Linked DNA regions of Arabidopsis thaliana. The protein of the gene in region 1 interacts with the protein of each later gene in a pairwise test. Each region holds a gene or a part of one and is shown on either strand. Other genes may lie near its edges.

Region 1 (8,944 bases):
CTTGAATGATTTAACTAGCTTAAGAAAATTAATTATGAATGAAAGGTCGGATTAGCGCGCGAGACGGGAGACCTAGTCGATGGAATCTATCTTATTGATTGCATATCGACTCTCAATAATGGATAGGTACTGAAGTATGAAATAATTGATGATACCTTCAAACTAGTTTGCGGTTTAGGTTGGAACATGGTCTGATAACAAAAGAACTTCCACAACTATAAAATCTAGGTTGGCTTCTTTTACTCGGCCTTTTGATTCATAACCAAAGATTCTTGGTTTTGTGACCAAGACCATTCGAATATTGGAAGAAGTGACTGATCTAGCAAGAAACACTCTACCAGTAAAACAAAGTAGAGAGAGGTACCCTAAGAATAAAATCTTGATTTTCATGAAGCTTTTTGAGAGAAGCCTCTCAGCTTATTTATGGATAATAAAGTGCATCATCAGACGATACACTGATTTTTTTTTAACATCTCTACCAAATTTGACAAAAGTGAAAGAAAAAAGGTTTATTGGTCTTTCGGGGCCAATGATGGATAGTATAAATTAAAGTATAGACACTATAATGAAAGTTGGTTTCGATAATTAGATCACTAATTTTTGTTTAAGGCATCTAATAATTGCGTTGATAAAGTAATGTTATCTGTCAGAACATAAATTACAAAAATAAGAGGGCTCATTCGATCACGTTTTATAAATACTTTCTTGTACCCACCAACCTAATTTTAATCGGCTAACTTAGGTTTTCCATTGCCTGATCATTTTTTTTTTATAACCAAAACAAAACAAAGTGTAATCAAGTCTCGTAACTATTTTATTAAAATGTGTTGATTCAAAAAAGTGAGAATCATTTTGGCATCTTATTACAACAAAGTGGGGAATATCTTTAATCAAATATACTTACAACAAGTGGTCTCTCTCTTTATTAGGCTTATTAAAAATGAATAAATAACATTGTTAAAAAACACACACATGTAATTCATAATTTGATGGGACGTTGGAAATTTCGTGCTGAGAAAAGTCAAATATGACGTGAAACGTTGCCGCCACTAGCTAGCCGCCACCTATACCGACACGTATAAATAATAATATACTAATAAGTGCGACTGCGTTTAGCCTACTACCGCAAACGCAGCTAACCAGATCCCTTTTTCTCTCTCTTTTCTTTCCCTCTATAAAATCGCGTCCTGCTATAGTGAGTTTAGAAAGAAACTGATAGTAGAAAAAAAAAGAGAGAAGAAAAATGGTGTTGACAATCTATGCTCCTTTATTCGCTTCTTCAAAGAGAGCTGTTGTGACATTGGTGGAGAAGGGAGTATCATTCGAAACTGTCAATGTCGATCTCATGAAAGGAGAACAGAGACAGCCTGAGTATCTCGCGATTCAGGTTCCGATTTTCCCTCTTTTTTACTAAATGTTTCTTTTTTTCCGGTGACTATTTCCGATCATGATCCCTTTTTCCGATCGATGCAGCCTTTCGGTAAAATCCCAGTCCTCGTCGACGGAGACTACAAAATCTTCGGTACACTTCTTCTCTTTTAAGCTACTACTACACGAGTCATGATCTGATAATGGATCTGATCATTTGCGATCATGATCAATGAATCACATGATCTTTGAGATTTTTTTGATTGTTTGGAAAAGATTGTTTAGGTAAATGAGTGTTGAAGAGATTTCGATTTGTGTTGCAGAGTCGCGTGCGATCATGAGGTATATAGCAGAGAAGTATAGATCACAAGGACCTGATCTTTTGGGGAAGACTATTGAAGAGAGAGGACAAGTAGAGCAATGGTTAGACGTTGAGGCTACAAGTTACCATCCACCACTATTGGCTTTAACGCTCAACATTGTCTTTGCACCACTTATGGGTTTCCCTGCTGATGAGAAAGTTATTAAGGAGAGTGAAGAGAAGCTTGCAGAAGTGCTTGATGTCTATGAAGCTCAGCTTTCTAAGAACGAATACTTGGCTGGTGATTTTGTGAGTCTAGCTGATTTGGCTCACCTTCCTTTCACCGAGTATCTTGTTGGTCCTATTGGGAAGGCTCATTTGATCAAAGATAGGAAGCATGTTAGCGCTTGGTGGGATAAGATTAGTAGCCGTGCTGCGTGGAAGGAGGTTTCCGCTAAGTACTCACTACCTGTTTAAACAAGGAGATGTTGACTTGGGGGGTTTGTGTGAGCTTTGTGTTCTTTGAGGGAGTTCGTTTTCGGGTCGATTGTCTTGTTGTTTCAATAAGAAACGGAACTCTGTCTCATTTGTTGTCTCTGGTTTCTTGTATTCTGTAACTTTTCAAGCTTTTCAATAAGAGTTTAAAATCAGAGTGACTCAACCCATGTATATTCCTCTATTCAGTGTAGGTCTTTGATAAAACTGGTACTAACATCACAACCATCGTGGTTTGTTGAAGGATTGCATTTATATGAAAACTGGTTTATATGAATCCAAAAACATAAGTCAAAGTTTAACACATATCTCTCTGTTCTTCATGTTGTAATAAAAGGGAAAAAGAATCATTCCCTAGTCAGACAAATTCAAGAGCGGCAGATACATAACAACTCTTGAATGTACAAGAAAACTAAAAAGACAAATTCTTTTTGTTGTTAGAAGAATCAACTCTCCAAACATTACCAGACCATCAAAGAGTATATTAAAATGTACGAAGATCTACCAATCTTTATTCAAGGCTGGTGATGAAATGATTCGGAAGGCGGATCATTGCGTGGAACGTTAGGTTCAGGAGACACTACCGGGATATCCAAGCTGTTTCTTCTGTCCCGTTCAGTCTCTGCAGATATTTCTCTTACATCAGAAACTCTTGCCTCTGTTGCCTGAATATCATTCCATTCGTTTTCTCCCACCGGAGGCTGAGCGTTTACTACCTGCTCTTCACTCATATGGACTACATTCTCTCCCGGTATAGAGGCTGTTCTTGAAATGCTCAGACATGCTTTATCCACATTCTTTTCTGTTTCCTTTGTCATTGGAAGAGAAGCTTCGCCGTTAGTAGACTCAGTCTTCTCCTCACACACTTGCTTTGTCTCTAGTTGCTGCCTGTTTATTCAAAAATAAAGAGATTTATGACCCTTCAAAAGTCATGAGTTTCCCTGGGAGATAGATTCAGATAGGCTCACCTTTGAAGCTGAGTTTGTAACATATTCACATATGCTAAAAGCTCTTGCTTCTCTGTCCAAGCAGTTGCTTCTCTCTGAGAAGCCTCTTTTGATTTTGCTTCACCGCTTGCTTCTGCAACCCTCACTTTCTCTTCGGCCCTCACAACAGCTCCTTCAAGTATGACAACACGCTCTCTGGCTTTCCCAAGCTCAGACCGCCACATATGTGCCTCTTGGAGAGCAGCGTCTCTTTCCTTAACCAATTGATCTTTTTCCTTACTCAAAGTAAAGGTCTTCTCTTCCAATTCCTTGAGCTACATAGGAGATAAAGATCAAATAAACAACAAAACATACACAAGGATGCAAAAGTATCTATATATGACATGGCCTCATTACCTTTAATTTTGTGGCTTCTTGCTGTCTCTGTGAGTCTGTAGTCAAGCGCTCAAATTCCACACAAACGATTTTCCTTTGTTCATCCATTGTATGAGCAGCAGATGCTGCAGCTACAGCTGCTTCAGCAGTCTCAGATAGCTTATCTGCTATTTCCTTTATCATTGAGTCACGAGAACGAAGTTCCCTGGCTAAATTATGTAATTCTTCATCTTTGACACGCAGAGTTTCCTGTAAGATGTAAGTGGCTCAATAAGGTTAACCTGGACATTAGAATGAAGATGGACGAATAAGATTTATGCTAATTCTGTTAATTTTCATCCTTGACAAGCAGAGTTTCCTGTAAGGTGTCCCTATATGCTTTCATCGTTCATCTTGACATTTCAGAATCTCAACAGCCAAAGGATGTCAATATGCTATTCACAAAAGTTTCCCAAATTCGAAGAGAAAGAGAGATGCAAAGATACCACACCTTCATTATTGTCAAATCATCTAGTGGTCCATCAATCGGTTTATTTGGCGTTATTTTCAATGCATTCCTCAAAGAGATCTGCATTGCTGCTTGAATTTCTCTGGAACATTCCAATGCTGTTGAATTGGCAGCGGCAACAACGGTTGCAACGGTACCAAGTGTTGCAGAACCACTTCCACTTAGAGATTCGACAGCCTCCTTATGGGCCTTTAGAACTAGCTGTGTCGCACTGGAACGAACAAAGAAAGATAAGGTTTATCAGATTGGCTTTTGAGGGGCATTTAGAAGGTATTACATTTTCAGTAAGAAACGTAAAAAGAGAGAGAAAGATGATTCTTTCAACATGGTCGACGACGAAACCATTAAATCAACACAACTATGAATTATTTAAGATAGATGAAATAAGCGGGGTGGCTTCTCTAGAGAATGGTAAGTAAATAAAAAGGACAGAAAGAGAAGCAAACAAAAAGATGAAGATCCAGATGACTTACTGTAAGGTTGTGACCCAAGCTTTAGCTGCACCAGGAGTCTCTGCACACAAAAAGTAATCTTTCTTCTGTGGGGTACCAATATCTTATATCAAGTTGAAGAAAATTCAACTCTAGATTCCAATCAACTATCTCCTTATAGACAAAAGAAACAATTATAAATATGCCAACATTTTACTAAAACCAAGGATACAAATACAGCAACCATTATATTTTGGAAGCCCCCTGAAACACAAAAGAAACAAAGTCAATGATACAAACAGACACCAAATAATGATGATTATACAGAGCAACAAAAAAAAGAATGTAGCATCCATACTGGAAGTTGACAGGAGAGATGGAGATTGTGCTATTTTCGTCAAACAAAATTGTTCCCTTGATAGTTGGCTCATTTCGCCTCGTCCTGAGTCATGGAAATACATCAGAAATGAATAAAACCATGATGAAGTGGTCTACACACAAATGCAGCTACATAAGCAAATTGATATAACTCACTTATACTCCATTTTCCCTGTTGTTGGATCAAGTATCACCCATCGTTCGTTCCATTTTCTCAGCTATTCATACATAAACACAAACAAAAGATATTATCATTGTGAACCTTTGAATAAGCCAAGACATTTCAGGCCAAAAGACTTGTTTAAGCTATAGAAATCTAATAGTGAGCTATCAGAGAGTCTTCTTAGTTTGAGCTAACTAAGAAATCCCAATCAATAAAGCAAAAACTGGTTTTGATCATTTTCACTTAAAAAAATTGGACTTACAGTTTCAGATCGCTTGAAAAGAGGTCCTTGTAGCAAGTTCCGACCAGAGCCAGATGCCAATTGTCGCTTGATCTTATCCAAGCTGTTCTCAGTAGCATCAACAATTCTCTGCGCATTTTCAGAAATTGACAAAATGGGTCAATTTAAGAGTGTGAATGAGAAAAGCAGCCAAAAGAAAGAGACTAAATTGTAGCACACAGAGATCAAGAGAGAAAAAGACCGGAGAAGCGCCGTTGGAAGCCATGTTAATTGGGATCGACGAGATCGGAAAGCTCTTGATCGATTAGAAGTGAATTGTTGCTGATCGATGGATCGAGAGAAGAAGGGTTTTAAGAGGTTTTCTTTGGTATAGCTATGAGTATAAGCTGAAGAAGACGAGGTTACAGAAGAAGAAGAAGAAGAAGAAGGAATTGGAGAAAAATGCTGTTAGGTTTGGTTTCGCGGAATTGCAGTTGAATCTGTCTTCACTCTTTCAACGCGATCAAATCAACTTAACCGGTCGGTACGATACTGGATCAGCTTACTCGTCAAATGAACCGGTTCTTGAGTTTCTCACTTTTTGTTTGTTCACTTCATTTTTATGGTTTTTGATCTGACGGTGGAGGTGTCATCACATGATTCTTTTGTTTTGTTTTTGGTTATGAGGATGATTAAGTAGATCTGTAGAAGGTAGGCTTTGTTAAGGGAGAAGCTTTACATAAACGATGGGCTAAGGAACATCAATGGGCCGGGCTGTAACAAGCCAATCGTTTAGGAGAGAGCAGAGTTCTTACTTTGCCCAACTAATCTCAAATGTGTGCAAGATTGTGAAATATTGCGTACTAGCTTCGACGCTTGGTAGTGGTGACTTAGACACTTAGTTCACAGGGACTTCAAACATAGATGCGTTAGACACAGCTTTACACTTTCTCTTAATCTTCAAGATTTTCAATGTACTACAACTTCCCTAATGGTCGTAATGAAACATGATATAAGTACATAACATAATATTCAATAATATATGAGATTTGAGTAATCATATGTGATATGATGATACTCTTTCCTTAATAGCTAGGCGCTGATAACTACATAGGAGGAGGAAACACAACAACTTGTTGGGGATACAGAAATGGATTGAAAAGCATCAAAGCAAAAGAGTAGTAGACATGTAAGCCAAGACAATATTCAATTTTGGGGTTAACTGAAGTGGGAAAGCTGCAAAACGTGAAGTGGTCCTCTTGCTTTATTCTACGTATGTAGATTCCTTTTGTATGAATTTTCTCATTTGTTTTTCACTTCTATGGCATTCTCATCAACCCAACCATGCATATATTTCCTAAATGAAACGTCTAAGAAGCTATCAAAATCCATATTTTTTTGGCTCCTTTATATTCAATCTCCAAAATAAGAAGAAACTTCTACTATATAATATACTACAGAATTTGGACACCTTTTGACATTTATAAGTTTGACCATTTATCTAAAATTTGGTATGTTCTTATGATTAGTGTTTGAAAATAAGAAAATATATATCCATGTGATGTGGTCATTCATGTATACCTTCCATAGTGAAATCATGATGTTTGTTGACAGTAACATATTGTTAGTGGTCTATGAGCTAGTGCAACCTGCCATGACTCACTTTCCCTTGCAAAATCTGACATTCTTCCACAAAACATAAAAGTCCATTAAAATTCTACTTTTGGATGAATCTGACCTTAAGGAATTTTCAGTTTCAGTTTCTTCTTTTTTTTTTCATAGAAAACCAAAAGTGCTGTAGAGTCGCAGAGATAGTGACATCCACTTGAATATTCTTCTGTTTTTTCTTACATTCATTAATTAAATTCAATACTCAAATTATATATATATAGTCCTTTTTAGATATAAAACATCATTATTAACATCTAATTAAGATTGACAAAAATGAAGTTCGTTATATCAAATCGATTGCCCATTCCTCCACTTGCTTTTCTTCATTTAAATTCAGAGATACTAGTAAAATAAACCATCAACCTCCATGCAAAACCATATTATATAACAAAGTTGCGAGCTTAACTTTTTTTTTTTTTCTTTTTATCACATTTCTTTACACTCTAAAAGCAAATTCTAAAACTTTTCTTTTCTTTTCTCTTCTTCTATCTATAGCTAAGAAACTAGTGGATCAAGTATTCAAGTTCCATATATACCGTCATCCAATTCTTTACAAAGAGCTAGATACACACAAACTTTAACAGTTATACTTATGAAATGAACTCATGAATTGATTATCATCAATTCTAAACTTTGTATTTATTGTTTCAACTTCAAACCACATGAAGTCATGGAGATTCATCATCAACTCTTAGTCTCTCTCCTCTTCCTCCTCCTTCCCCTATGCTCCTCCCAAGAAAACACCAGAAGCTTGGCCATTGATGTCAATGGTCCAGTCGAAACTTCTCCTATCTCCGAGGTTCGTATGCTCTTCTTTCTCTCTCGCTTATCCTAATTAAAATCTAATAATCTCAAACTCTTCATAATCTCATTGATATAGCTGATAAATCTTTACAATGAAGCTCCAGGCATTTCCTTTGTTTCTGATCTTATAACCTATTGAGTTTATTTATCATCGCATGATTATAATGTATGTAAGTCATGTACATATTATTATTCCATGATGCTTAAAGGTTATAGTTTTTTTTTCCTACTCTCTGTATAAAATGCCTGCGTGTTAATAACTTTAATCAAAAACTCTGAATATATATTGGTATGAAGCTCTTATTTTTATTTTTCTTGAACAGAAACTAAATCCAAAGCTTGTGTACGAAATCAAAGTGCATGGCTTTATGCTTTGGGCAGCGATGGGTGTTTTGATGCCAATTGGTATAATCTCCATCAGATTAATGTCTATCAAAGACCAACCTATAATCACTCTTCGACGACTCTTCTTTCTTCATGTCACTTCTCAGGCATGTTTCATTTTTCTTGGCTCTCTTATTTAAATTATATATATCAAATATATATTACAATTCAACAAACTAAATCATAAGTATGTTGAAAGTATTGTATAAGTTGAAAATGAAATTTAATGGTCGGTGCGAGAAGATAGGTGGATGGAGAGTAAAGCAAAGATGCTTCTCTCTTCATCTAAACAATAAAGATTGCATCCAATTAACAACTTTTTCGTGATTTTTAATTAGTACTCCATTAGTAATTAGTAGGGCCTTTTAGGTTATTCTAGATTGTTAATCACATTGATAATCATGGAAACTTGAAGGCCAAGCTAAAGCATCTATCTTCTTCCTCTTTATTTTTAGCTTTAACGACTTTCTGACTTTCTCTTTCTCTCATTCTGATACTTAACTAAGAAACCTCACCTACTAGCTAGTCAATTTTGTTACAAAACAATATTTGATAATTAAACAGCAGCAAGTACTTTTAACTATTGTTATCTATCAACAAGCGGCTCATAGTTTACTTGGAATATTAAGTGAGCAATTAACAATGTGATTAATTTATGAAGCAGATGGTTGCAGTGATACTTGTGACAATAGGGGCAGTAATGTCAGTAATAAACTTCAACAATTCCTTCAGTAATCATCACCAACAGCTTGGAATTGGACTTTACGTCATTGTATGGTTCCAAGCTCTTCTTGGCTTCCTCCGACCTCCAAGGTACTTCTGTTTCTTTTCTCTTCAATAAAATAAGCTGTTACACCGATAATTCTTTGTGACAAAATTAAGCTAGCTTAAGATTAATA
Region 2 (6,820 bases), 3.7 Mb from region 1:
ACAACGAAGCGGCGGCGGCGAGGAGCGGTGGTGCGACGAGAATTGCGCGGCGAGTGACGGCGATTTGAGAGGAGGAGACATTGGAATGAGAGTGGAGACAAAGAGTGACGACGTTTGGATTTGGAAGATTCTTCTTCTTCTGATTATTATTGGCTGAGAAGATAATCGGAAGTTGGCCGCGGAATCTCGGAAACGAGAAGGAGGAAGATGATTGAGAAGCCAAGAGCCCACCATTGGTCGTGGGCTTCATTGGTACACGTCAGCTTTTTGCATTGCTCTAGATCTACAAATAGAGACTTTTCATTTTATTTTATTGCCATCTCTTGTGTGGTTCTCCAATTTTCAAAAATAAAAAAAAACTTCTACTACATGATTTTATTTATGTTAGATCCACCAAATTATACGTATAATAATGTTGAAAAATAAATTTATGGATAACAACAACGGAAAAAAACTATGGACTATATACGACTTTGATATTCATATATACAAAACTTTTTTTCTTTATGTCGGTGAAGTCATTAGAAAAGCACAATACTGTATTTTCTAAATTCAATAATTCCATCATAAGTATTATTTTACAAACTTTACTGAAAAAAGCAACAAACTAGGGGAATATTTTGCTTAGGGTGAAAGTAAGAAAAGAAATATCTAAGGAAGATTGAGGTAAAGCATCTCCTTAAATTCCAACTTTCTAGTATCACTATAAAAAGTATGATGCTTGTTAGGCCAATAAGTCAACCAAACGCAACCTTTAACCTCAAACTCCATTACTTTCCCAATAGCCGTTTTATCAACTTTCCACAAAACGCTTTGCCCATAACTATCTCCTGCAAACACAACTCCTCCTTGCTTCGTGAACGGTCTAAACGCGCTCGAGTACCGGTTCTTGAACCAAGCTCGAGGGTTCATCATCGAGACTTTCGATGGTTTAGAGGACGAAACTTCTCTTCCATCGTCAAGATCATGGAGAAACCAAGTGAGATTGGCGCTATAACCATGAACCCATTCCTCGAACTTCCATGGCTTCATGCTTTTTGTTGTGGTCTCGTTGGCTGAGACTTTTAGTCCAAAGAATGTGTTTGGTGGATCTATTGTTGCTTCTATGCCTTTCTCTACTTCGAATTCTGTCAATGGGTTTTCTGAAGATTTTTGTACGGATACCATTAAGATGTTTGATTGATTCGTTGGTGTTAGTTGCAATGATATTCTTGAGGGGAAATGTTTTTCCTCTGTTCCCATGCCACGTTCCGATAATAGTTTCTCGTTCACAAGCCTTATTATGTCGCACCTAGTTATAAACAATATCTATAGTTAAGAGAAATTAATATGAACAAATTACTTATGTATGCTTGATTACACACAATTTTACGATACCTGACGTTGTCAATATTTACTGCGACGTTAAACCACTTTTCACGAACGTAAATCCTGTGGTTCAATTGGATTACACCTTCAAGTTGATGATAGTTTAGCGAGAAGAACAATCTCTCGTCGTTTAGAGAACTATTTACGCTCTCCATTTCCATTGCTACCACAGGACAATACATATGAACTTTCCATAGACCTTGAGTCGAGAAAGCATATGAAAACAAAGGAGAAGGAGACTTGAGATGCTGAAACGCTTTGATCTCGATGATCCAGTTGGTTATTGCAAGGTTCAGCGATCTCATCCATTGTTCTTCAAGGTTAGAGCCTAGTTGCACCATGAGCAACTTAGAGCCCTGCCTTGACCTACAAGTTACCAGCTGATCTTTCACCGTTTTGAGACAAGTTGTTCTCAGGCTCGTTGGCGCCTCGTAGATGCAGATGAGGAACACGAAAGTGAAGAAAGCGAGGTTGAAAACGTCTTTGAGGTTAGAAGTGGAGCCTAGGTTTTGGAGTTGGATTGAACAAGTGGTTCTCTTGACGTTATAGTTGAGAACAACGTCGACAAAACCCATCAATAGAGTAGATATGACGTTTTCATTGAGGAAAGTAGTTGAATTAGTGCTAATGGTTCTGAAAGTTTTTGAAATAAAGAGAGTAATAGGAGTCTTGAAATTGGCTACTATCGAGAAGGTGAAAAAGTTTGGAGATTGAGGGGTACGAGTAAGAGTGAAGTTCAAAGATGGGTGTGATGAATTTGGAGAGCAAATACACATGGACATTAAATTTCCTTTCCATAGAGAAAGAGGAGGAAGAGTTTGAAGCCAAGCAAACGCATCAGGTGTGTCACAAGAAGCCATTAGAGCTAATATTGAATATCTAGTTGTTGTTCTAGATATGTGTGGTATAGAGAGTATATGATTAGAAGACTAGATTTATCATTTATATATAGAGAGAACATTTTAATGAGTGGAAGAAAAGTAAAGGAAGAAAGATTCGCTTATTTTTTTCAAAAGGTAAGCTAAACAAAATCATGAACTATTTTACGTAAACCAGAAAATATAGAGCTACGCACGAACACGAGACGTCTCTTTAGTAAAATATTGAAAATTTGAAATGTGATAATGATTAAGAGTCCTGCAAATTATGAGATAACGTACAAGGAAAAAGGTTTAGATGATAATTAGAGTAGCTAGACCGTTAAGAGGGATGTAATTAAATTGATAAAGTACGTGCTATTCAAGATTCTTCCATATGTGGATTTCAACCCGAATTTCCAAGAAATATTCTTGATTAGGCCGACGAATATTGTTATTCGATGCCTCTATTCTACTCAATAATGTTTCTTCGTCTTTATTTAGTTTACTAATTATATGTTTGATACATAAATAAATACGAATTATGGAGTGTGTTTGTATATACATAAATACGAATACGAATTATGGAGTGTGTTCAAATAATTATACATAAATAAATAAATACGAATTATGAATTATATACAAATATAAATTATATACACTTGAAGCCTGACGATTACAATAGCAGCTGATCATTATCTTCGGGGTGAATTCAAATTATGGATTGTGTTTGATTTCCTCAAGTCTTAATTTTCATCTACTTTTCAAACGACTAATTAATAGTGGCTACATAACTAACGACTCGATGATAAACACTCCAAAAAGCAATCAATCACTTGAGCAAAAGTTCAAAAGAAAACACTCCAAAAAGCAAACGCAAACACCAAACAAAACAAAACTCAAGTAGAGTTTTAGATAAAGCAACAGTAGAATTTTAGAAAAACCAAATTAAAACACCAAGTGTTTATGCCAAATAAATTGGCTAGACGAAGCAAAACAAGAACACATTATTGATAGTGTAGATTTGGAGTTCACTAATTGATAGTGCAACGTTTGAGTTCAACATTGCCTAGGCTGAGTGAGAATATCTTATTGTTTCCATCCACGAATTTGAGAAAGTAACTACATGTTACCTTTACCTTCTTGTTATTCTCGTCAACCTCATTTATCTCGGTCATCTCAACATGAACAAGTTCCGCAAACCTCCATTTGTTTTCATTATCTCATTTTGATTGTCCCAATCATGTCAAACTCATCTTTTATCGCTTGCACCCCCTTCTTCATGTAGTCTCCACCACCGGTTGCATAGGCGTCTTTAAAAATGCTCTCGAGTTCCCTCCAGTTGTCTTTGCCCCAAGTTCCTGGTGTCTCAAGACACCATAATTCATATATAACTCATAATTCATATTTATTTATGTATATAATTTGTATTTGTATATAATTCATAATTTGTTTAGCTTCAAGTGTACATAATTTGTATATAATTTAATTTCACAGTTTATAGATATATTTAGTAAACCTTTATCATTCATGATCAATTGATCATATGATTGTTTCATTTGTTCAACGAGAACACTCATAGGGTGGGAAATGAGATGATAATTATTGAAATGATCATATAAACAATTGTAGGAAGTCGTAATTTATCTGCAAATAAAATTAGAATATTATTAACTACACTAATTTACTAGTTTGTGTTGTGTTATCCTTGTAACATCATATAGATACAAACCACTGAACCAGTAAGATTGTTTGTTTGTTGAAAAAAAAAAAATGGTTTTATGAACCAATAGTGGAATATATTGGGCCTCTTCCAACATTATAGACCCATCTAAAAATTGCTATTAACTCCAACTTAATATATTGGGCCTATTCCAAAACATTATAGGCCCATAAAATTTAGGCCTTTAGAATATCTAACACGGTTTTGCCGCAACTTCAGTTTCCACTAAAATCGGAACAACAAATTCACACTCTCTCCGCCGCGCACAGACTCACCGACACCACCAATAATGTCTTCTTCTCCGGCGATTCTTCCCGTCACCAACCAGCAAGCAGCCACTCAATCTCAACCTCCAATCAATTCTCACGCCTTCCGTACTTTCCTCTCACGCCTCTCGTCCTCTCTCCGCGAAAGCCTCTCTCAACGCCGTCCATGGCTAGAACTCGTAGATCGGAGCTCCTTCGCTAGACCTGACTCTCTCACCGATTCCTTCTCCCGGATCCGTAAGAATCTCGCTTACTTCAAAGTCAATTACTCCGCAATTGTCTCGTTAGTCCTTGCTTTCTCCCTCCTCTCGCATCCATTCTCGCTTCTCGTCCTCCTCTCTCTCTTAGGCTCCTGGATGTTTCTCTACCTCTTCCGATCTTCAGATCAGCCTTTGGTTCTCTTTGGTCGTAGTTTCTCAGATCGTGAGACTTTGCTTGGTCTTGTTTTGACTACGATTGTGGTTGTGTTTATGACGAGTGTTGGATCTTTGTTAACATCGGCGTTAACGATTGGAATCGCGATTGTTTGCTTACATGGTGCGTTTAGGGTTCCTGATGATTTGTTCTTGGATGAACAAGAGCCTGCTAATGCTGGTTTACTCTCGTTCATTGGTAATTCTGCTGCTACTTCTGCTGCTGCTTCTGTTGTTGCAGGACGAGTTTGAGAAGCTCGAATTTGATGATTCTGATCCTAGAGAACAAACGAAACCTGGATTCTCAGGGTTTTTAGTTATGTTTTGAGTATAGATTCGATGAAGATCTGTAAGTGTTAGATCTAAAGATGCATTGTTGTGTTGTATTCTTCAATTTCGTCACAATTTAGAAAATTTGGAGCTGATCCTTCTCAAGTATTGTAAGATCTCATTTACCTTAAATCAATTTGATACTCTTTGCCTTCATCACCATATGTTTGAGTTAGATTTAGACTAAACCAGTGAAGATTATAGTTTGACCAAAGTATTAAGGATTAAACAAACAACATGTAGTTTAACAACATACGTGGTAGATGTAAATCTTGTAACTAGTTATGTCTATGTCTCTCTAGCTACCAACTATTTTATTCTTCCACAAGTTTCCTCTATCTCGAAAGCGAACAGCCAATACTGTGTACGAATTTGCTGATAGTAAGAGGGTTATATCATGGGAAAGTTTCCCACTGGATTTACATGTTTGGCCAATTTGACAAAAACGACACACGTTTAGTTTGGGGATTTTGTCTTAAAAACTCGGCTGCCAAAAACAAACTGAAGATTCGGTCACCTGAATTGTCTTTTTCGGTCAAAGTCTCACTGAGTTGCTTCTTTCTTAGATATAATATAGGTGACCTGTTTTTAATCTTCATAACATGAGATATATTTTCGTGGAATGAGTTGTGTCTTGTGAAATCTTTTTTCTTTGGTTTTAATGTTAAGAATGTCTTGTGAAATCTTTTCCTGGATTCTAATTATTGGTGAGAATGTGAGATAAAAACAACACTTAGGTACTAAGTTACTAACCATTAAACATGAAGATAAATAGACAAATCCTCTTGTGTAAAGAAGATTATCCCACTTGTAACGAGAAGGTTTGACAAATCGACAACAAAAATGTGAACCTAGTTAGGGTTCGTACCCACTTTTGACTAATGGAATTAAGATACAAAGGAAACCAAAGAAATAGAGTAAACCAATATAATTCCCATGCTACTAATAATTAATCAAGAAATTTCATAAGTAGCAGTTCAAGATATCGTCATTTCTCATGTCATTTCAAAGACCATGATTTCTTCTCGGAAGGATAATTAAACGAAAGCTTAAATTCATATAGCTAGTGAAGATATTTTGTGAGGAAAAATATATATCTTATGTACTGAAAATATATATATTACCAGAAGGTCTCATGTGAAAACATCTATACTTCTAATTGTAAAACTGAATGACTAGATTATAATTTTCCAGTTGAAATAATAGAAATTATTTTTAAAGTTAATAGGAAAGTGGTATAATTAGAGAACAACACACAAAATCTAGACAAGTAAAGCATGTTGTTGACTATGAACATAATTGTAGATGCGGGGTCAATGTCACTTTGCTATATACAAAAAGGTACGGCTAATTTCTAAACATGAGATTGTCATTATCAGAGATTTAGCACATAGAGAGGTTAAAGATACCAAAGAAGAAGACACTAACTAATTCCACCAAACATAATTACTAATTTCTTGTTCACCAATCCATGTCCCCAATATTCTTCTCATGTACTTCTTCTTTCTTAACAACATGATGTTAACATTTTTTCCCAACTTTATTACCTTTCGGATGGTTATTGTTAAAGATATTTACGTAACGGATTACATGGTCTCTCCTTTCCAAAAGTATTAACTTAATCTTTTAGGAAAAAAAGTTTTAGTTAAAAAAAGTTCTTCCGTATATTTACGTAAGGGGTACACAGTTTTGACGTTTCAATACATATTGGCAAAAACCAAAACATAAAGGAAACAATTTACGACATATAGGTGTAGAGGTAGCTAGATTCGGTTAAAGAAAATTAAAGGTGTTATTGTTAAGACAAGAATATAGGGGTTGAAAAAAGTTGTGATTTAGGCGGTTAGACGAATCATCTTGTTT
Region 3 (7,943 bases), on another chromosome or scaffold:
ATCTCAGGTGTTGCTAGAGGTCTTCTCTATCTCCATGAAGATTCTCGTTTCAAGATTGTTCATAGAGATATGAAAGCCAGCAATGTTCTATTGGACGATGCAATGAATCCGAAAATCGCGGATTTTGGAATGGCAAAGTTGTTTGATACTGACCAAACAAGTCAGACCAGGTTTACAAGCAAAGTTGCAGGAACCTAGTAAGCTACCATTTTAAAAACTACCCTTTAAGTTATTATCAATTCTGTAAAACTAAAATGAAAGCCAAAACATTATTTGCTCGTTTGGCAGCGGTTACATGGCTCCAGAGTATGCAATGAGTGGCGAATTCTCGGTAAAAACCGATGTATTTAGCTTCGGTGTACTAGTCCTTGAGATTATTAAAGGTAAGAAAAACAATTGGTCTCCAGAAGAAGACAGCTCATTATTCCTCCTTAGCTATGTAAGTGAATAAAACTCTTGCTTTGTTTTTTTTGACTCTAGACTTTGAGTTTGGGGTTGTAATTGAGGACTCATATATTGTCTTGATTTCAAGTCATATATTGTCTTTTATACGTATAGGTATGGAAGAGCTGGAGAGAAGGGGAAGTGTTAAACATTGTGGATCCAAGTTTGGTTGAAACAATAGGTGTCAGTGATGAAATCATGAAATGCATTCACATTGGTTTGTTGTGTGTTCAGGAGAATGCAGAGAGTAGACCAACAATGGCTTCTGTTGTTGTAATGCTCAATGCAAATTCTTTCACTTTACCGAGACCCTCGCAACCCGCATTTTACTCGGGAGATGGAGAATCATTGTCAAGAGACAAAAATCAGATAAATCATATTGCATCTTTGAATGATGTTACAATTACCGAGTTCGATGCTCGTTAAATTTGTGTGTAAAAGACAAAAATGAAGATTTCTGTTTGCTTTAAAGTTACACTTCAAAATGTCAAATGACGTTTGAACTTAAAATTCTTTGTCCTAATGAAACCATAATCTCTAATTATTGGGCTTGAACATATATGGGCTTTGTTAACAATGTAGGCCCATTAGTGTTTTTTTCCTCGTGTAGGCCCATTAGCTTATGATTGCTTTTTCTTAGGAATTTTGCGTCCCACATCGATAAGCTAGTGGAGAAACGTTTTCTTTATATATGGATACAAAGCATCAATGGTCACGACCTTACTTGAACTATAGGCTCGTACATCTGTTTTCTTGAGAAAATTTCTCAAGAGACAGGCCCTAAACCCTTGTTGATGAACCGTGACCGTGCGGCTTGAGCGTGATTGACGGCTACGATTGTCCTTGGATGCATCCGGTGCTGTAGAGGATGGTTACTCGGCTCGGTTCTCCCTTGCCGGGGTGGTCGCACGGCGGTCTGACAGGTTTCATTTTTTTTCCTTTTCACCCTGAAACTTTTAATTTCTTCTATTTTTCACCCGCTAATTTTATATTACTCTCCATCTGGTCCTTTTTAAAATTTCGACGTTCAAGTTTAATTTTAGAGGCTGAGAATATCTTCCATAACGCTTGGGACAAAGAAACTCTTAATTTTTGGTTGTGTGTTAAGTATTGTCACCTCAATTGATGTCAGTTTATTTGTTTGTATATCAGTTTTGAGGTTTCTGTTTTTATTTTGGTTCCTCAAAATAGGATTTAAAAAGCAATTTTGACAAAAAAATTATCATTCATAAAAGTATACTTTTACATTAAATCAGGCCAAAACTGATCTATTGGTCATCTCTCTGTTCTTCTTTTATACATTTCAGTGTCATAAATCTAATAGGCCAGACATATGGACAAGCTGAAAAAAGGTCATAAAAGGACTGCTTCTGAATCCTGAATCAACGGTATTCAAAAGACTTACCTCTTTAAGTATATCTGTGAAGAGATATAAACATTTTGGCTTCAGCAATCATCAACTACTACCCCCTATCATTGTTTGTTGTTGCTTGAGTCTCTGATTCCACAGGTGCAGCGACTGAGGAGTTGATCCGGTTTGATTTTCCGGAAGCTCTCTCATCAGATTTACTACCCCAGCAATGCTTTGCGAGATGTCCTTTCCTCCCACAGTTGTCACAGACGATGATGACTCTCTCGTCTCTCTCAGGTTCTTTCCTCTTCCAACCTACGCTCTGAGATCCTCTATGTGTTGTTCCTAGACTCGGTGTCCTTTCCATCTGAGAGGAGCCTGTGGCTGGTCTATATGTAACCCCTTTTGCTCCATTTCTGAGAAGCTCTTCCTCAGCTTTTACTCGTTCCATCAACATCCAGACTGGTAAATACTCCTCTTCCATTAACCTGGTGCAGAAGCCTCTCCAAGACGGGGGAAACTTGGAGATGATGGTACTCACATGAAATGCCTCATCAAGAAACATACCAGCACTCACTATGGAATCCGCAATCTTGTTAAAGACTTGGACTTGCTCGAGTATCGGTCTCTCTTCCACCATTCTGAATTCAATGTACTTTCTGACTTGTGACCTCTTCGATTTGGATTCATCACACTGGTAGACCCATTTTAACTCGTCCCACAATTCTTTGGCATGCTTAAATTTCTGAGAGTATCGACGGTATAGATGATCTGACAAGGAGTTCATCAAGTGAGTATAGCACAGGTAATCATCTCTCAACCATTTTTTCCCCGTAGCATCAGCTCGAGTTATTTCCCTGGGGTTGGTTTCAGGGCCTTGAGAGCTACCAATACTGGGACAAGGTTCAGAGAGTACATAAGTCAGCTTCAATTGCTTCAGAAAGAGTTCCATCTGTGAAGCCCAGTAAAGATAACTCTTTCCATCAAATCGTGAAATCTTGATAACAGAAAAACCGTGAGAGCTGTCCTTATCCACAGCCTCAGAAGTATCTCCATTTCGTGCTGCTTCAGATCTGCATAACGTTTAATAGCAAGATAAGCAGCCTACATTGCTAGCCAGACAGTAATGCCCTATGCCACGATGATTATATGACCATAAAACACTAAAAGCAATGCCAGGGAACATGAATCTTTATAGACTTAAAATAAGGTACACATTCTTACTTTAGTTTTGATTGGCACTGCTTAATACCGTCCTCTATCGCTGCAAAATTCTTCTTGATTACAGACCATTGGTTAGTTGACAAATGTGCTCCTGACAGAGAAGAAACATCTAACAATTGAAATCAACAGGAGCATATCTAAAACAAAAATGGCTACTTATAGCTTCATAGTCAAGACCAAGACACCAAGTTGTGTTTCAAATTACCTCTAAAAGCCTTTCCATGTTCCTGAGAACCAATCGATAGAAAAGGTTGGCCTCTGTATCTTTGAACCGTCGCATTTTGCTTCTCCGATAACTACAGTTAAAGACCAACAATTTCTACAGTGACCACTGAAAAACTCAAAATCGAGATGATCACAATCTCTACTCTATACAGTGAATCAAACATAGAACAAATAGGCAAAGTCGCAACCTTACAAATAAAGCGCTCATCTTCACCACCAACGGAAGCGGCAGCAACAGAAACTGTCTCATTTTTCGCCGGAGCCACCGTCTCCGGTACGAGTGCTTCACCGGGAGTCGATAGCAAAAAGACCTCAAGAACATCTCTGACTAGCTTCTTGTGATTGGTTCCCGATAAGTCGATACCGAGTTTAGCCGAAGCGTCAAGTCGGAGTTTGAACTCCGTCATTTGGTCCATATCAGATTCACTGAGTATGCTCTTCACTGTTTCCTCGATTTTTTGTGTAGCGACAATCTCCATAGTTTCACCAGAATCAAGCAACGAATTCTCCATTTCGCCCGAAAAAGAAGAAAAAAAAGGATAAAGAAAAAGATTTCGCAGTAGCGTCGAGTTTTGGTTGTTGGCCGGCGTTATATTTAGGGTTCATAAATCGCCGGGGGAAAAAATTTGGCCGGAGTGTGAAAAAAAGAGGTTCTACCGAGAATTGAACTCGGGTTACTGGATTCAGAGTCCAATGTCCTAACCGCTAGACCATAGAACCTTTTTGCTATAGCTGTTGCATTTAATACTTTATATATGCAAATATATATATATGAGTTTTTTTTCCTTATCTATATATCTTTTCTGTTTTATAATACGATATATGAATACATGGGTGAGATACGAATACGATTGAGAAATATATGGGTGAAATACAGTTTTTCTTCACGAAGCCGATAAGATACTAAGAGTCGAATCCTTCTAGAAACTAAACCGACAGAAAGCAAATTATTTTTGAAAATTAAGCTCAAACAAAAGAGGCTAAATATAAAGATAGCAAGGTAATAGTCATTAACATTTGTTGTGAATAATCTAGTTTGGGCTAATGTTAATCTTGTTTTACTTGTCTTCTCACTGCATTGCAGCTTAAGAAATTAGTATTGCATGCTGCGAGCTCAGACTCAGCCAGAGGGCTAACCCAACAGATTTTGATGCCTAAAACATCTTTAAGCTCATTTAAAATTCTTAAGCATTTTAAATCTATTTATAATTAAAGTCTCAAAAAAACGAAGGTAAGGTTCGAACTGTCCACGAAAGAGTCACTAATCTATGAAACAATCACTAGACTACGAAACATTTTTAAAATTTGATGCCCTTTAATATTATCTATAATTTTAGGCGCGTAAAGCATGAGTTTCACCAACTTTAGCCCAGGGCCGGCCCTGCTCAGCCATAAGAGAAGCAAAAGATGTAATGCAAAACTCCAATACGCAGTAATGATAACAAAAAAAAGTTTGTTCGTTAAAGCTTATCAATGCTTACAAAACATCAAAACCAACTTGACATGTGATGGCAGTAACAAAATCGAGAAGGCGATGCTAAAAGTAACTTCATAAACTAGATTGATCAAAAGTACTCATAGCTTCGGAATCAACATAAGACACCAAATATGTTCAAGTCACCTTTAAAAGCAAGTTAATAGCCAACAAACAATGTGCATTTCACATTTCGCTTCTCCAATAACTAATGCCTAACAATTTACAGAAAACATCACTTCTTTCCTCGACAATCCATTGTATTATTTTCGTGAAATGTCATCATAGAAGAAGCACTTAAAATGAAAATTGGGTTGGCCCATGAATTTGAATTCTCTAACCCAAGACCAAAACCCATAAAAGTTATTTACGACCATCGAACCACTTTTTTTTTTTTTTTTTTAACGGCAAACATTTTTCTATTAATTAGCCCAAATGGGCTTCATAAACAGGTACAACTTGAGGCCAAAAGCCCACTAATTGCAAACATTAAATAGACAATATGATGACACATGTATGCAATGTGGAGATTGCAGCGTAGATCAACGTTTCAGCACATGCCCCGTCACTGCTTCGCCGGAGAAATCTTCCGCCGGTCAGCAAATGATTCAGCTCCTCCATGAAACTTTCTACCCACATTTAGTTGTACCGAATGCCTTTTGCCAAGGATCACCGGAAATAGTCTATTGGAGTTAGTTTGGTCACCGGAAATTTAAACTTCAGCTGATTAGGATTAGAATATTCCTTGGAGGACCATTAAAACATGACGTGAACCCCAACTCGTCATACTCTTCTCCAATCAACCACAACACCTTGATCTATCATCCATGAAGAACCGATGCCCTTACGCTTTTATTAGCATAGCGAGGAATTTTCCTTCACATGGAAGAGTAATCAAGCATCCAATGAACACATTTCCATCTAAAAACCTCCAAGAATTAAACATCTTCTAAAATTGAAAGTGTTGATTTACAACCTGCAAAAGGCCTTATAAAAAACCGGCAAAGAAAACCGAAAGAAACTCCGAACAATTCGGAAATTAAAACCGGCAAGATACCGGAAACAAAAGAAAAGAAAAAAAACTTAAATGAAATCCGATTTCAATCGGAGAAAATATTAAACAGAGTTTTCCTCTCTCTCAAAGATACCAGAGAGAACCACTTGGTTAATTAAAGAAAATCTATTTTAACCGGTTGTTTAAAAAATAGTTAAATTTGGAAAGAAAACAGAAGTTGAAACGGTAGAATAGTAAAAAGTAATGAAACGTCTTGTTCCCTAATTAATAATTACTTACGATTCACGAAGTAGACTTTAAAGCCCATACTACCCTCTGGACTGTGGCCACGTCACTCTCCTTTAACTACTTTGATAGTCCCAAAGCTGCGACGGCGATAAATCGATGAATTAACGACGTTCGAAGAAACTCCAGAGGTCTCTTCATTTTCCTTTTGTATACTGGTAAAAATTGGTGGTCTCTTCTTTGTCTCCGAGTATGGAGAAAATGAGAGGGAAGCGAATCAGACCAAGAGATTCCGGCGAGTTAGTCGAAGATGGGAGATCTGAAAGCGAGCGTAAGACGAGGAAGAAAGAGAATGATGTTGTGAGCAAAGGAAGAATCGGAAGAGGAAGAGGAAGAGGAGAGGTTTCGAAGCGATCTATTGAAATAGACATTTCTAATCCCGAGAAGGTTAATTCCTTTCTATAATTGCTTCATTCAAATAGATAGATGAATCTCTTTCATGATTCTGTGGAGTTGTTAAAATTTGCTTTCTCATGCAATTATTTAGCTGCAAAATTTGTGTGAATGTTGTTTATTTCGATTTGGTGAATTTTATTTGTTCGGATGTGATGAGAATATGTTTTTGGAACCCTAATTCTCCCAGGATATTAAGCCTGACGGAAGCAGAAAGTGTTTGGGTTCGACGTGTCATCATTGTAAGATCTTGACGAGTGAGAGTGATCTTATCTTCTGTTCAAAGTGTAACAAGAAGTGTTATTGCTTTGACTGCATCAAGAGATCGTATGTATCTGCACTGTTCAGTATTACGTTATACTAGTTTATGATTTGCGGTTTCCAGGAGAGTTTTAACTATTTTGAATCTTGATAGGTATTCAGAAAGAACACATGAGGAAGTTAGAGCTGCTTGTCCATTCTGTATGATGACTTGCATTTGCAGAGCTTGTTTGCGGTTGCCTTTGGTTATCAAGGTAAGTGGGCTTGAGATCACTTATTTCTTGTGGATCTACTGAGATGAAATGTCTCCTTCAATATGATTTTTTTTTTTTTTTTGTGAATCTCAGCCTCCAAGTGAAAAAGATACAGATGTCAAGCTTAAGCAGCTGCAGTATCTGTTAGTCAAAGTTCTCCCAGTTCTTAAGGATATTTATACGGAGCAGAACCGTGAACTAGAGATTGAATCAACAATTAGAGGTAAGGCTCTTTGTCTTCACTTGTGCTATCCTCTTATTTCTTCCTCTTTCTATTCTCCACTCACGAACCTTTTTTATTCTAGGACACCCTGTGACAGAAGCTAATATCAAGAGGTGCAAACTTGACCCAAGCGAACGCATATACTGGTAAGATTCCAAATCTCTGGGAGCATCTTTTTGGCTGATCTTTTATCTTGGGGGAAAACCAATGTTATTGAATTTTCATACTGTTTTTTGTATCCTTTGCAAATAGGCAGAGAGCAAATTAAAATGTACCGATTGTCACCAGTTTCGTGAGGAGATTTGGTAGCAAACTAATTGTTAAATGAATGGAATATAAAAGGAATGATTTGGGGGGAGTAATCAGGGTGGTTTGATGGGTAGATGACTGAAGAGATTATGATCTTATTAAGTATCTTCATTTTTATTGTATTGTCATTTGATTTAAAGGACATTGTCATTGTTATTTTCATAACTGTCTTTTAACGTTATTCCTTTTTCATGTATTTTCATTTGAACGAAAATAAGCTTCATATCATGTTAAGCAATGGGCAGAGAGTTGTTTTCATCATTATGAGTGTCATATGCCCAAGGAAGACAAGGGTTCTATACCTTGTTGGGCTACTTTTGGTTATCTTTGGGATTTGGTATATGGGGTCTACTGTTCATTAGTTCTCTTTATATCCAAAACAAGTGAAGACGTTGCATATTGGATAAAACAGGACATAGTTTCGTTATCCATCTATAGAAACACATTTGTCAATCTGTTTCTTTGAATTGTATCTCGTATTTGAT

The links.
Region 2: the proteins of SWAP70 (region 1) and PRA1.B2 interact in a two-hybrid assay, tested with the Arabidopsis thaliana proteins (one large-scale study listed by BioGRID).
Region 3: the proteins of SWAP70 (region 1) and AT4G00980 interact in a two-hybrid assay, tested with the Arabidopsis thaliana proteins (one large-scale study listed by BioGRID).

What each region holds. Positions count from the first base shown.
Region 1 is NC_003071.7:13,140,247-13,149,190, forward strand, and holds SWAP70 (Pleckstrin homology (PH) domain-containing protein), read right to left. Parts: upstream 5,815-8,944; 5' UTR 5,473-5,814; coding exon 5,449-5,472; intron 5,337-5,448; coding exon 5,229-5,336; intron 5,022-5,228; coding exon 4,960-5,021; intron 4,868-4,959; coding exon 4,784-4,867; intron 4,690-4,783; coding exon 4,658-4,689; intron 4,550-4,657; coding exon 4,468-4,549; intron 4,206-4,467; coding exon 3,977-4,205; intron 3,736-3,976; coding exon 3,508-3,735; intron 3,426-3,507; coding exon 3,133-3,425; coding exon of another isoform or gene 3,129-3,132; exon of another isoform or gene 3,053-3,128; coding exon 2,680-3,052; 3' UTR 2,419-2,679; downstream 1-2,418. Other genes in the region: GSTF10 (glutathione S-transferase PHI 10), read left to right, coding at 1,244-1,387, 1,474-1,522, 1,692-2,146; AT2G30890 (Cytochrome b561/ferric reductase transmembrane protein family), read left to right, coding at 7,528-7,656, 7,985-8,152, 8,710-8,858.
Region 2 is NC_003071.7:16,862,793-16,869,612, reverse strand, and holds PRA1.B2 (prenylated RAB acceptor 1.B2), read left to right. Parts: upstream 1-4,025; 5' UTR 4,026-4,237; coding exon 4,238-4,879; 3' UTR 4,880-5,167; downstream 5,168-6,820. Other genes in the region: AT2G40400 (DUF399 family protein, putative (DUF399 and DUF3411)), read right to left, coding at 1-250; AT2G40390 (neuronal PAS domain protein), read right to left, coding at 652-1,291, 1,378-2,228. UniProt on the Arabidopsis thaliana protein: May be involved in both secretory and endocytic intracellular trafficking in the endosomal/prevacuolar compartments.
Region 3 is NC_003075.7:420,825-428,767, forward strand, and holds AT4G00980 (zinc knuckle (CCHC-type) family protein), read right to left. Parts: upstream 3,765-7,943; 5' UTR 3,757-3,764; coding exon 3,433-3,756; intron 3,316-3,432; coding exon 3,225-3,315; intron 3,111-3,224; coding exon 3,020-3,110; intron 2,869-3,019; coding exon 1,908-2,868; 3' UTR 1,654-1,907; downstream 1-1,653. Other genes in the region: CRK41 (cysteine-rich RLK (RECEPTOR-like protein kinase) 41), read left to right, coding at 1-197, 289-439, 559-870; AT4G00990 (Transcription factor jumonji (jmjC) domain-containing protein), read left to right, coding at 6,211-6,405, 6,602-6,738, 6,827-6,926, 7,020-7,149, 7,232-7,295.